Arabidopsis thaliana: one gene and its partner. The protein of the gene in region 1 interacts with the protein of each later gene in a pairwise test. Each region holds a gene or a part of one and is shown on either strand. Other genes may lie near its edges.

Region 1 (4,904 bases):
CTGCAAATTTCATTAGCTCTTACTTCTATATCAAAAACATTCTTGTTTTATAATCTCATCCGAAAATCTGTTTCTCTAAAGAATCTCAAATTGTGAATCAAACGACAGGTACTTGGCTCCAGAGTATGCGTCAAGCGGGAAACTGACAGACCGATCAGATGTTTTCTCCTTTGGAGTGATGCTTCTTGAGCTAGTTACCGGACGCAGACCTGTTGATCTCACTGGTGAAATGGAAGACAGTTTGGTCGATTGGGTCCGTAATCATATGGTTAAATATATTCATCACATTAATGGTTCCTCTGTTAGAATCTTGTGATCTAATGCAAACTTGGTTACTTTTTTTACACAGGCAAGACCCATATGCTTAAACGCAGCTCAGGATGGAGATTACAGTGAACTAGTTGATCCACGTCTCGAAAACCAATACGAGCCTCATGAGATGGCACAAATGGTTGCTTGTGCCGCTGCAGCCGTCAGGCACTCAGCTAGACGCAGGCCTAAGATGAGCCAGGCAAGTTTTACTTTTGAACATGACCACTCTTTTAAACATATACTTTACACCAAGAGAATGATCACTATGGTCCAATGTTAAAACAGATTGTTCGGGCTCTGGAGGGAGATGCAACGCTAGACGATCTAAGCGAAGGAGGGAAAGCGGGACAAAGCTCATTCCTCGGGAGGGGTTCAAGCTCGGACTATGACTCAAGCACTTACAGTGCGGATATGAAGAAGTTCAGGAAAGTGGCATTGGATAGTCATGAGTACGGTGCAAGCAGCGAGTACGGGAACACGAGCGAATACGGGCTTGACCCGTCTTCCTCGAGCAGCGAGGAGATTCGTAGAGGAGGAGCTAACAACAACAAAACCACTCCTAGCCGAGACCATTGATTTAGCTTGTTAGTTTCAAAACAATCTTCCTTGCTGTGTTTTTGTGTTTTGTTTCCCCTATGAATTTTTTTTTTCAACTCTTTTATTCTTTTTGTCACCGTTGGATTTGTGTTTGTGTCTGTGAAAAAAAATTCAAAACTTTTGATTGTGATTAATTGATTTATTAATGCTAATTGTCTGTCTTAATCCCATCTCTCAATCAAGTAATTGACTAGGGCTTCAGTAACCAGATTGAATCAAATGTCAAAGATTCTAACTTTGTTTTATTTCAATCTTCTTGATCATTCTAAAGCTGAGGACTAATGAATAATAAGAAACAGATGGGTTTTGCAAAATTTACGAAAATGCCACTCTAGAGATCTCAGAAACAGAGGATAACGACAGAGAAAGAGATCATGAAAGTGTAAAGAAGGATCAAGAACCCAAAATAGAGAGCCCAATTTCTCTTAAACTTGCCAAAGTAGCTATCAGGTGGTTCTTGATACGGAACTTCCAGATCCCAAGCAGCAGCAGAGGCCTCATCACCGTCGCCTCCACCGAGGAAATCTCCGGCAGCGATTCTTGACTTGATGAAACGGAGCTTGTGAGTGGCGAGACCGAGAGTGAGCTTATGGCAGCGACGCTGGTACTTGAAGCCGTTGATGCAACGGAGAGTTTGAGCGACGGAGACGTAGAAGAAGAGGTGAGAGAAGGATAGGAGGCAGATGGGTGCCCAGCAATGGCGGCAGTGAAGACGACCTGAGGGTTGAGAGAGGGAGAAGAAGATTACGGCGAGGAAGATGAAGAAGAGCTGAAATAGCTTGTGGAGCTTCTTCTTCTGGTGGTCAATGGCTCGTTTCTTCTCTAAGGTTTTCTCGAAGTGGAGCTGGATTATTGAGTTTAGTGCTTGTAGAGCAGTTTCTTTGGGGATGAAAGGTTGGTTATTCTGGTCAATTTCGTCGTCGTAGTCCGCCATTGAAGGACTGAGAAGAGAGAAAAAGTGTTATTGGTTAGAGAGATGGTTTGGGGATTGTGTGTAGGAACATGTGGGTGTGGTTCGTATCTCTAGACAAGTATTATCCATCTCAACGGTCTTGTTCTGATTTTTGATGTTTTGTCCGTACTCAATAAATATTTTACTGGGAGTAAAATCAAAACCAGAAAAATGCTTGTGGTTGGTCTCAACTTATGTCTCTGCATAGCACCAATCTAGTTAGAGCCAAAGGAACAATGTATAAACCTCAGGCAATGAGCATTACATTCAGAAGTATAAAGATACAAAAGTCGAGCTACATAATAGAATACACTAGTTCAGTTCCAAGTGACATTGTATCTTCTCCTTGAGTCTTTCACATTTGTTTCCATGAAATCATATTTCAAACGCCCAACATCGTTTCTTCTTTAGGCAAGAGACCATCGCGGCTGAGTTTGTTGGTAAAACAGAGCATCTGAGAAGCATAGAGATGATGTATCAGCCTCTCAGATTCAATTCAAGAGAAGATATAATACGAATTCCTTCGCATCCTAATGCATGCCACTAAGGCACTAACTAAAGTATGTCCCATTGAAATAACAGTTTCTGCAAATCTAAGCTCCACATACAAGGGTACTAGGTCAATTACTCAGGTCAGTGAAACTCTTGATTAATGAAGCAAGAATGTACGTTGTTGTTATAGATTGATCGCGCTTTATGACATTACTCGACAGAAGCCTTATCATACTCTCAAACAGACCAGGACTACTAAGGAAATATAAATCAAGATCTAGCAAATTCTCTAAGATCATAATCTAGGATGTAATAATATAAGAAACATCAACAAATTTTTAGAATTCCTCTAATCGAAATTTCTTAAAACACACAGCAGTTCAGTCAATTTTCTGATCAAAAACTGCAAAAGAAACTACAGACAATAAAATTATACTATGATATGATTAAAAAGCCTTACAAGAAGAGATGATCACCTTTCTATCTATGAATATTGAGCATGGATTTAGCCTCAGTCTGCTGCTCAACCAAATCTTCACTAGCATACTTACTAAGCAGATCCATCTTCTTCTTCTCCAACACCATCTTCTCAATCTCCTTCTCATCAGGCAACGGAACATGAACCACAAATTCCCTCTCTTTCTCCTCCTCTTTCTCCCTCTCCATCCTCTCCTCCTCAACAACATCCTCCTCCTCCTCAAACAACACTTCCCTCGCCGCAGCAGCTGCAGCTCCAACACTCACAACCTCACTAGCACCTTTCCTAGCTTCCTTCCTAACCTCATCTAATCTCCGCCACTCCTCCACCGATCTTTTCCTCATCCCTCCTTCAGATTTCCTCTCCAACTTCTCCAAAATACCATCTTCATCATCTCTATACCCATAATAGCTAGCATCAATCCTTTTATATATATCATACCTAGTTTTACGCTTCCTCAGCTCAGGAGGCTTCTCAAAAAGCTCTCTAACACCAGGAAGTTTCTTAGCAGCTCCGAAGTAACGATAACCAGGACCACGACCACTAGGGTTAGGTACATCGATTATGTTACCTTCTAGATCCGTCATCTTCGCCGAATGTTTCGAGTAATTGTGACCACCTAGCTCAACGATTCGCCGCTCCCAATGATATCTCTCCCTGAGAAGCTTGTTAATCTCATCGTTTAGATCTCGAAGTCTGTGCTCTCCTAATCCTTCGTTCTGAATCTCAGCTACTTTGCTACCGATCTCTCTCAAAATTTGCTGTCTCCATTTGTCTGCTTCAGCTAGATCTCTACATTCTGATGCGAGGTAAGGTCGACGCTCTTTTGGCTTCTTCTTCTCAGATTCTTTCTGGGTGATGAATCTGTTGAGCATCGACTGTGCTTTCTCTTCATTACGAGCCATCTTGGGTCTTCGGAGGTTACGATTACACTAGCAAATCTCAAAGGAAAGCAGAATCTAACAGAAGAAGAGATCGAGATACTTCTCTAGCTTTTTTTTCTTACTTAAACCCTAATTTGCAGGATAACGAGAAGGAGAGACGCGGAAGAGAGAAACTGAGAAAGGATTGGGGTTAAATTGGTAATTAGATAATTGTTTCGCCGGAAAAAGAAAAATAAAAATTGTTTCAAGTTCTACGTCCTTTTCCAAAGCTAAGGCCCAATTTATTAGCCCATATATGCTATATAAGCATCAACTAGATAGGACAATATTTTAGGGCCCAAGGAAGACTCGTTTCGAGTATTGATTAATTCTTCAACGAGTTGACTTTTTGGAATCAAGATGTATAAACCAAATGTGCAGGACAATTTGAAATTAATTTGTTATATTTTGCATCATGTAAAAGGATTAATAAGCGAAAAGAGTAACGAATAGATACACCTCGTAATTGTTTTGGTGTAAAACTTGAAACAGTAGAATTGACGATTGGGGTTATATAAAATGGTGCGATCTTAAAATATCTGACTTTGTGCTAGTTTAAGTTCATTTGTGAATGGAAGACATGTAACGCTTTAACTATTCAGAATATCAGTTCCAAGTGAAGATGGAGGTAGCAAAAGTAAGACTAATAACCAAATCAATAAAAATCTTATACAATACTTATATTAACATTGCAAAGAGTTTCAAGGTTTTTCTTCTGAGTTTTGAAAGAAATTATAGGGAACAAAAGGAATAAAGAGGCATCAATTCGATCACTCAGAGCTACAAAACAATGGGACTAAAACGCAAAACGAAAGCGGTTTTTTTTTTTGAAACGCAGACGTAAGTAAAAACCCAGAGAGTTTGTCACACACAAGTGCATCATAGAAACGAAAACAAAAAGGGAAATGAAACAAACAAATGGAGAAGCAAATATAAAAGAAAAAAAGAAACTTTGATCCCATTCATAAAACCCCAGCTTTTTAAGCCTTTGATCTTGAGAGCTTAGAAACATTTTCTGTGAACGATTCCTGGACCTGCCTCATCATACTCGGCCTTGGAGATCCACATCTGTAACCAACATATACATAAATAATCAGCCTTTGATTTCAATTTGCATGTAAGAGAATTCGAAACAAAATCTGATCAATTT
Region 2 (6,441 bases), about 13 Mb from region 1:
CAGGAATGTTGGCTGAGCTGCAGGAACACGTCGAGTCGATAGATTTGGCCAATGGTTTGATCTTACATAACTAGTCTTTGTTTTTCGAGGTTCTTTTTTTTAATATATTATTTGGATCTTTAAATGTTTTAGATCTTCACTCCATTGGAGGTTTGGTTCCTCTCCTTAGCTATCTCAAGAACTCTAATGCGAAAATTCGAGCAAAGTCTGCCGATGTTTTGACTACGGTTGTCCAAAACAATCCAAGAAGCCAGCAACTTGTTATGGAAGCAAATGGGTTCGAACCATTATTAACTAACTTTATTGCTGATCCTGACATTAGAGTCCGGACCAAGGCACTCGGGGCTATATCTTGTAAGAGTTACTATTTCTAGCAAAGTTTGCTTTGAGAACCCAAAAGTTTGACAGTTTTTTTCTTGCTTTCGACATTGCAGCTCTTATCCGTAACAACCAACCCGGGATTACAGCATTCCGTCTGGCAAATGGTTATGCTGGCCTGCGAGACGCTTTGGTCTCTGATACCGTTAGATTCCAAAGGTAAATAGGGTCTCAAGAATATGTATTAGGTAGATGAATTGATCCGGGTTTTGGTTCTGTTTCGGTTCAGGTTTTCAGTGTAGTAACCAATATACTCTTTCTGTTTCAGAAAAGCGTTGAACTTGCTTCACTATCTTCTCCAAGAAAGCAACTCAGACTGTAAAATCGTTAGAGATCTTGGATTCCCTCGCATAATGATCCACCTAGCATCCAACCAAGATTTTGAAGTTCGGGAATTCGCTCTTCGTGGTCTCCTAGAGCTTGCCCGTGAAGAATCTGTGAGAAACCTTGATAGAGGGGATGTGAATCTAAGACAGCTTCTTGAGGAGAGAACAAGACGAATAATTGTGATGTCGGACGAAGATCTTTGTGCAGCTAGAGAAGAAAGACAGCTAGTGGATAGTCTTTGGACCGTGTGTTATGATGAACCGTCCCTTCTAAGAGAAAGAGGTCTGGTCTACCTCCCTTCTGACGACGAGCTGGCTCCTGATGTGGTTAGGGACCGCTTTGAACCTCCTCTAAGGGCTTGGGCTGCAAGACGACATGATGAAACGAGTGAATCCCCGGTTCCACTTCTTCTTGGTCCTGCACCGTGATCTCGTTCAACCAAATTATTAGATTTTGCAGTTATCAACAAATCAGCTTTGCTTTAGAATTTCTCTAGCTCTTGTTTATGTATATCTGAGCGACAACAAGACGCTATTAAAGAGATTATCTGTGTTCTGTTTCTGTAATACAAATCTACACTCATGGACTTCAAGTTCTACAACTTCTCCGTTCACTTTGCCAATATCATAGTGTACCGTTATTATGTTTAAGTCATGAATAATACTTGCGAGACTGTTCTTGATACTGAATCCACTATCGCAATCATAATCTTCATACTCTATAAATTCTTATAAGATATCACAAAAAACTCAATTATATATTCCATACAAAGGCAAAAATGTATGTACATGATCCGTATTAGTAAACCTTTTTTAAAAAAACTATAAACATAAAACATTGCTAGAGTTGGAACATCAAACATCACCTCCCACCGGAGAGTAGAGAGTCAGCAATGGAAGATCCGCCGGTAAACCCTTTAAACACAGTGGAAAAATCAGTCATTGCAATACCGCTAAAACCGTCCCGGCCTCCCAGATTCATCACGCTCCCCGCCGACAAATCCAAGGGCGTTAATTCAGGCAGTGCCATGTCTCCTCTTAGATATTGTAAGACCTGCCTCATACTTGGTCTAGCCCGAGGGTCTGAATGCGAACACAACAGACCGAGTTTCAATACCATTTCAACCTCTTCAAGATCATAACCTGAAGAACCGAGCTTCGGATCTTTCGCTTCCATTATGTTACCTCTGAGCCACAAACTGAAAACCCATTCCACAAGCAAGAACGTATCATCGCTTGCACTATGGAACTCGATGGGTCGTCTACCGGAAACAACTTCTAAAAGAAACGCACCAAACGCATAGACATCAGTCGTGGTAGTGGCACGTCCAGTCCGGGAATGTTCAGGTGCTAAGTAACCCAATGTTCCAACAACGTGAGTGGTCTGAGGATCCGAGCCGTGATCATACAACCGAGCCAACCCAAAATCACCGAGTCTACCATTGAAATCAGCATCTAACAGAACATTGCTAGCTTTCACGTCACGGTGAATCACAACTTGTTCCCATTCCTCATGAAGATAGAACAATCCTGAAGCAACTCCTTTGATAATCGTAGATCTTTGTTTCCAATCTAAGGTAGTCTCCGGATTGTTGTAAAGATACTTATCTAAGCTCCCATTAGGCATGTAATCGTAAACCAAAAGAAGCTCTCCTCTCCGGCGACAGTAACCCAAGAGAGGAACTAAATTCCGGTGACTCATCCTACCAATACTCACAATCTCCGCCACAAACTCTTTCATACCTTGTTTTGAATCATGTGAGACTCTCTTCACAGCGACTTCAAGCTTCGTCGTTGGTAAAATGCCTCTGTAAACTCTCCCAAATCCACCGGAGCCGAGAAGATCCTTCTCCTTAAAACCTTTGGTCGCGTGATAGAGCTCCTTGAATCTGAATCGATTCTTCCCAAACTCTGTTTCCCAATCATCAAGCTCTTCCTCGTACTTCTTCTTCCTCCTCACGATGTAGAAAGCGAGGAAGATGATAGAGAAGATCAGAGATAGTGAAATCAAAGGCATACCGATTTTGTAGAATTCAGAGATTCTTCTAGGCTCAAATCGAGGAAGCTTCGGGAGTTTCGATAACGAGAGCATCGGAGCTTCTCCGTTTAACCGGAAACTCCATCCGACTAAGAAATGCTCCGAGAGAACTGAACCAGTCGCAGATGAGAAACCTACATACATATCTTCTAGAAGAATCGAAGAAAGATCTCTCACATACGAAACTAGAGGTTTTCTAGGTTTATCAGAATCAAACGGAGCCACGGTGACATCAATTCGATGACTACGATTATCGTAATCGATCCAAACTTGGATCCGTTTGCGACTAATCAAACTCAGATTCTGAAACTTATCGTGATCATCCCTATATCCCGCCGTCGAGTAATTCGCCGATCGTAAACCGTTGAGATCGATTCCGACGTGATTATCGTTTGGATCTCCAAACTCGCTACTCTGGATTGTATCGAATTCGACGGCAAAGATGTGATTCGTGTCGTTACCATTGTTAGAGATGTTGAAGAGACCGATGTATTGACTAGGAAGTGCAAAAGGAAGACCTAGCGTTGGAGCTACAACGAAGGCGATTCCATGGCCGCTTAGTGTTGGGATCTGAGAATGTATCGCGAAGACGAAGGTTGTGGAGAAGGATGATACGTTGCCGTTTTGGGAATCTTTGAACCGGATTCGTTCAGTACAGAAGGCGTGACCGGTTTTTTGTACCGATGTGTTGGTAAGCTTCAAGAGACCATTGGGTGTTACTGTTGCGAGACCTTGGAGTGAGATATCTGTTAATGGAGGATGGAAACCATTGTAGGTGAAGTTGAGATTTTGAGAGGAAGAAATCATAATTTGACAGAGTAGGAAGAAGAAGAAGATGAGCTTGAGCTTGACGAACATGGCTGCTTCCGGTTTAATCCGGTTTAGTTTTACTCTGTTTTGTTAAACGAAAGAGGAAAAGATTGAAGATAGAAATTGAAGTTATTAAAAGAGGTGAAGAGAAGGATAAGAAAAAAAAGTCGTGGTAGTGTTTCTTTGAGGCCACGCTTTGTGAGATTTGAATAATATGTCAGTGGTTGGTGAAGTATTAATCAAGATTATATAAGCTTGAATTAAATAGAAGTTAATTTCATTCTATGATTAATTGGTTTTATAAGGAGGAAGTGTATATACAAAAAAAAACCACACTTTGATTTTGACTGATGCATTAATCCAGTTTGTCTGCATGTGACTTCTAGTGGTCAATGGTCAATGAGTGAGATGTTGTTGATCATTTTTGTTTAGTTAAATTAAATGAAGTAAATTCAATCTTATGAGTCATATGGTTAAGACACACAAATTCAAGTTTGTGATTCTGAGACTGGAGTTCTAGAAACGTGTTTCTCTTCGGCTTTGTTTGGTTTTATTTCCAGAACTTTTGAACCATGGTAAAGCTTTCTTTTTTGGTCAACAAAACTTTTTTGGTTAAACTTCATATAACTAAATTTAACTTGTAAGAGAACTATCATTTCTCTAATTGACTAAAACGTTCTGGATGGTGACAGAAGTATTATTCTTGCAACATTTCCAAAACTTAATATTGTGTGAACACTAAAAAGATATCAGAATAGATGTGTACTTATCCAAACGTTTCACAGGAAGTACAAAAGCAAAAATCATTTTAGATAGTGTGGCTTGAAAGGCTGAGATTGACGACAACAAACAAATGAGAGGCTAAGATTTACTATGTGTTATATTAGTGGTTATGTAACTAATATTGTTCCTTCATCAGAAAGTATTCAGTGGTCGACATATAAAATATTCCTCTGCATATGAATTTTTATAAATTTTGTGATGCAATAAACGGAAGATTCTTTTGACATTTTCTCCTTTGGCGTGATGCAGAAACAAACTAAATGCTGAGATAAATAATAGGATTTCATGTCACAGTACTTATGAATAAGTGGACTTATCCAAAAATTGTTAGATTTTTTCTCTTTTGATAATAGATTGTATCATTTTTAGGAAATGAAATGTTCCATAAATACACTATAGTCTATAGTGACGTTGAAAACTTGTTTGAGGTGTAGGAAAACGTGAATGAATGAATCCTGGATTTGTGAGAAAGAAAGGTAGTGATAAGAGGGAGAGAGCAACGACTTTAAGGAGTGATATGATAGTGATGGGTCCTCATGTGTCAAATGGACAACTGGTCAAAACTTGTCCACTTGTCTCTTTAGGAAGCTTCTCAATTTTTGACCTTTGATTTTTCGTCTCAGTCAGCTTCATGATCGATCTTCTTTGAATTTTCTTGCACTTCAATTTTATTCTATCCCGACACTCTAACATTTAGGAGGACTGGTTATAGTTGGATTCGGATGTGTTAAATTGATATGATAGGGTTTAGAAACATAAAAGAACGCCATATAACTTCTTTTTGGTATTAGATTCTCAGAATAAAATGACAAGATCATATTCTTATATAGATATTGAAGTTGGCTAAGTTAATAAAATACAAGTACTGTAAAAGTAATATCTTTGGTAACGATCTTGATCGGTCAATTTTTAGTTCAAAATCTCGACATATTTTCCAATAAGAAGTATTATAGACTAATACTATGAACAATTCGGAAAGCATACAGAAAAGAAAAGCCTATAGTATGGCAACTGGTCAAAATCCATATTTTGTTGATTCAAAACTTCTCAAGGTTTAAATTTCAGTAAAAAGAAACCAATTTTTTTTCTGGACCACAAGAAAACTAGCTTAAGAGATTTTGAAAGAAATTTCTGAATGTTTTTCTTTTGGTTGATGGATATATCATTGATTTCAGAAAAAAAAAAAAAAAGGAAAATAATCCAGTTATGGCTAAGCCCAGAATCAGGCCCAGGCCCAGATGCATTTAGTTAGTAATGTATAAGATAAGCCCCATATATATGTTTTTTTTATATCTAAAAGTTACAAAAAAAGTTCAGAGTATAATAAAAACTTCTAACAATTATAATCGAAACTTTTTCTTTGAGGTTGCAGATAAAGACATCCATGTGAAACGCCGACACTGAAAAGTCACTCAAAGAAATGTTCAAATTAGAGTTGTTCTTAGAAGCCAACCGTAGGGTTAAAATAAGCTAATGGAGATTATAATGTTAATTTGTCAATATCAATTATTTGTTGGATAAGTCCAAAAGACTAATGCGGAATTGTTCTAAATAGTTTTCCCTAAGCAACGATTATAATACTTTTCCCTCGTTAACCATTTCACAAGTTAACTAAGCGAGTGCCGTCAACATTTATATACATTACAAACTGACCAGTTATGTAAGTTGCTTCCCGCCATTATTAGATGTTGGCATGTTGCTATCGTGAAAAGTCTTTTTAATTTCATTTTTGTTGTTGTTCGGATATTTATATTGTGAACATACATTATAAACTGAGATTGCAGGTTAATTAGTTAGAAAACATGGTAAATTCAATGTAATTGCGACACGTTAACATTTATATATCAATTTATGTCAACATTAGTACAAATCAAGAACTATATGTTTTGATATCTAACATATGTAATTTTATTATGAAATTTTATATCATTGACCCCGCCCTAAAGATTGATATATTATCTAAAATGGTTTTAAGTCTTCATATCTATATTTAATATAGAAACCTAAACTCATAAAGAAAGAATTCTGAACTACATTCGTAGTTGAAATTCATACACTATAAATTAAGAATGAGCTTAATCTAAGATTCTTATTGTAAACAATTGG

What was found. Proteins that work in one complex are often made in the same cells at the same time.
Region 2: the proteins of AT3G18800 (region 1) and AT3G53810 interact in a protein complementation assay, tested with the Arabidopsis thaliana proteins (one large-scale study listed by BioGRID).

The regions. Positions count from the first base shown.
Region 1 is NC_003074.8:6,476,685-6,481,588, reverse strand, and holds AT3G18800 (uncharacterized protein), read right to left. Parts: upstream 2,003-4,904; 5' UTR 1,844-2,002; coding exon 1,250-1,843; 3' UTR 1,126-1,249; downstream 1-1,125. Other genes in the region: PERK6 (Protein kinase superfamily protein), read left to right, coding at 109-253, 350-511, 598-888; AT3G18790 (pre-mRNA-splicing factor ISY1-like protein), read right to left, coding at 2,834-3,736; ACT2 (actin 2), read right to left, coding at 4,757-4,822.
Region 2 is NC_003074.8:19,931,587-19,938,027, forward strand, and holds AT3G53810 (Concanavalin A-like lectin protein kinase family protein), read right to left. Parts: upstream 3,807-6,441; 5' UTR 3,601-3,806; coding exon 1,567-3,600; 3' UTR 1,384-1,566; downstream 1-1,383. Other genes in the region: Fes1B, read left to right, coding at 4-54, 133-354, 435-537, 647-1,133.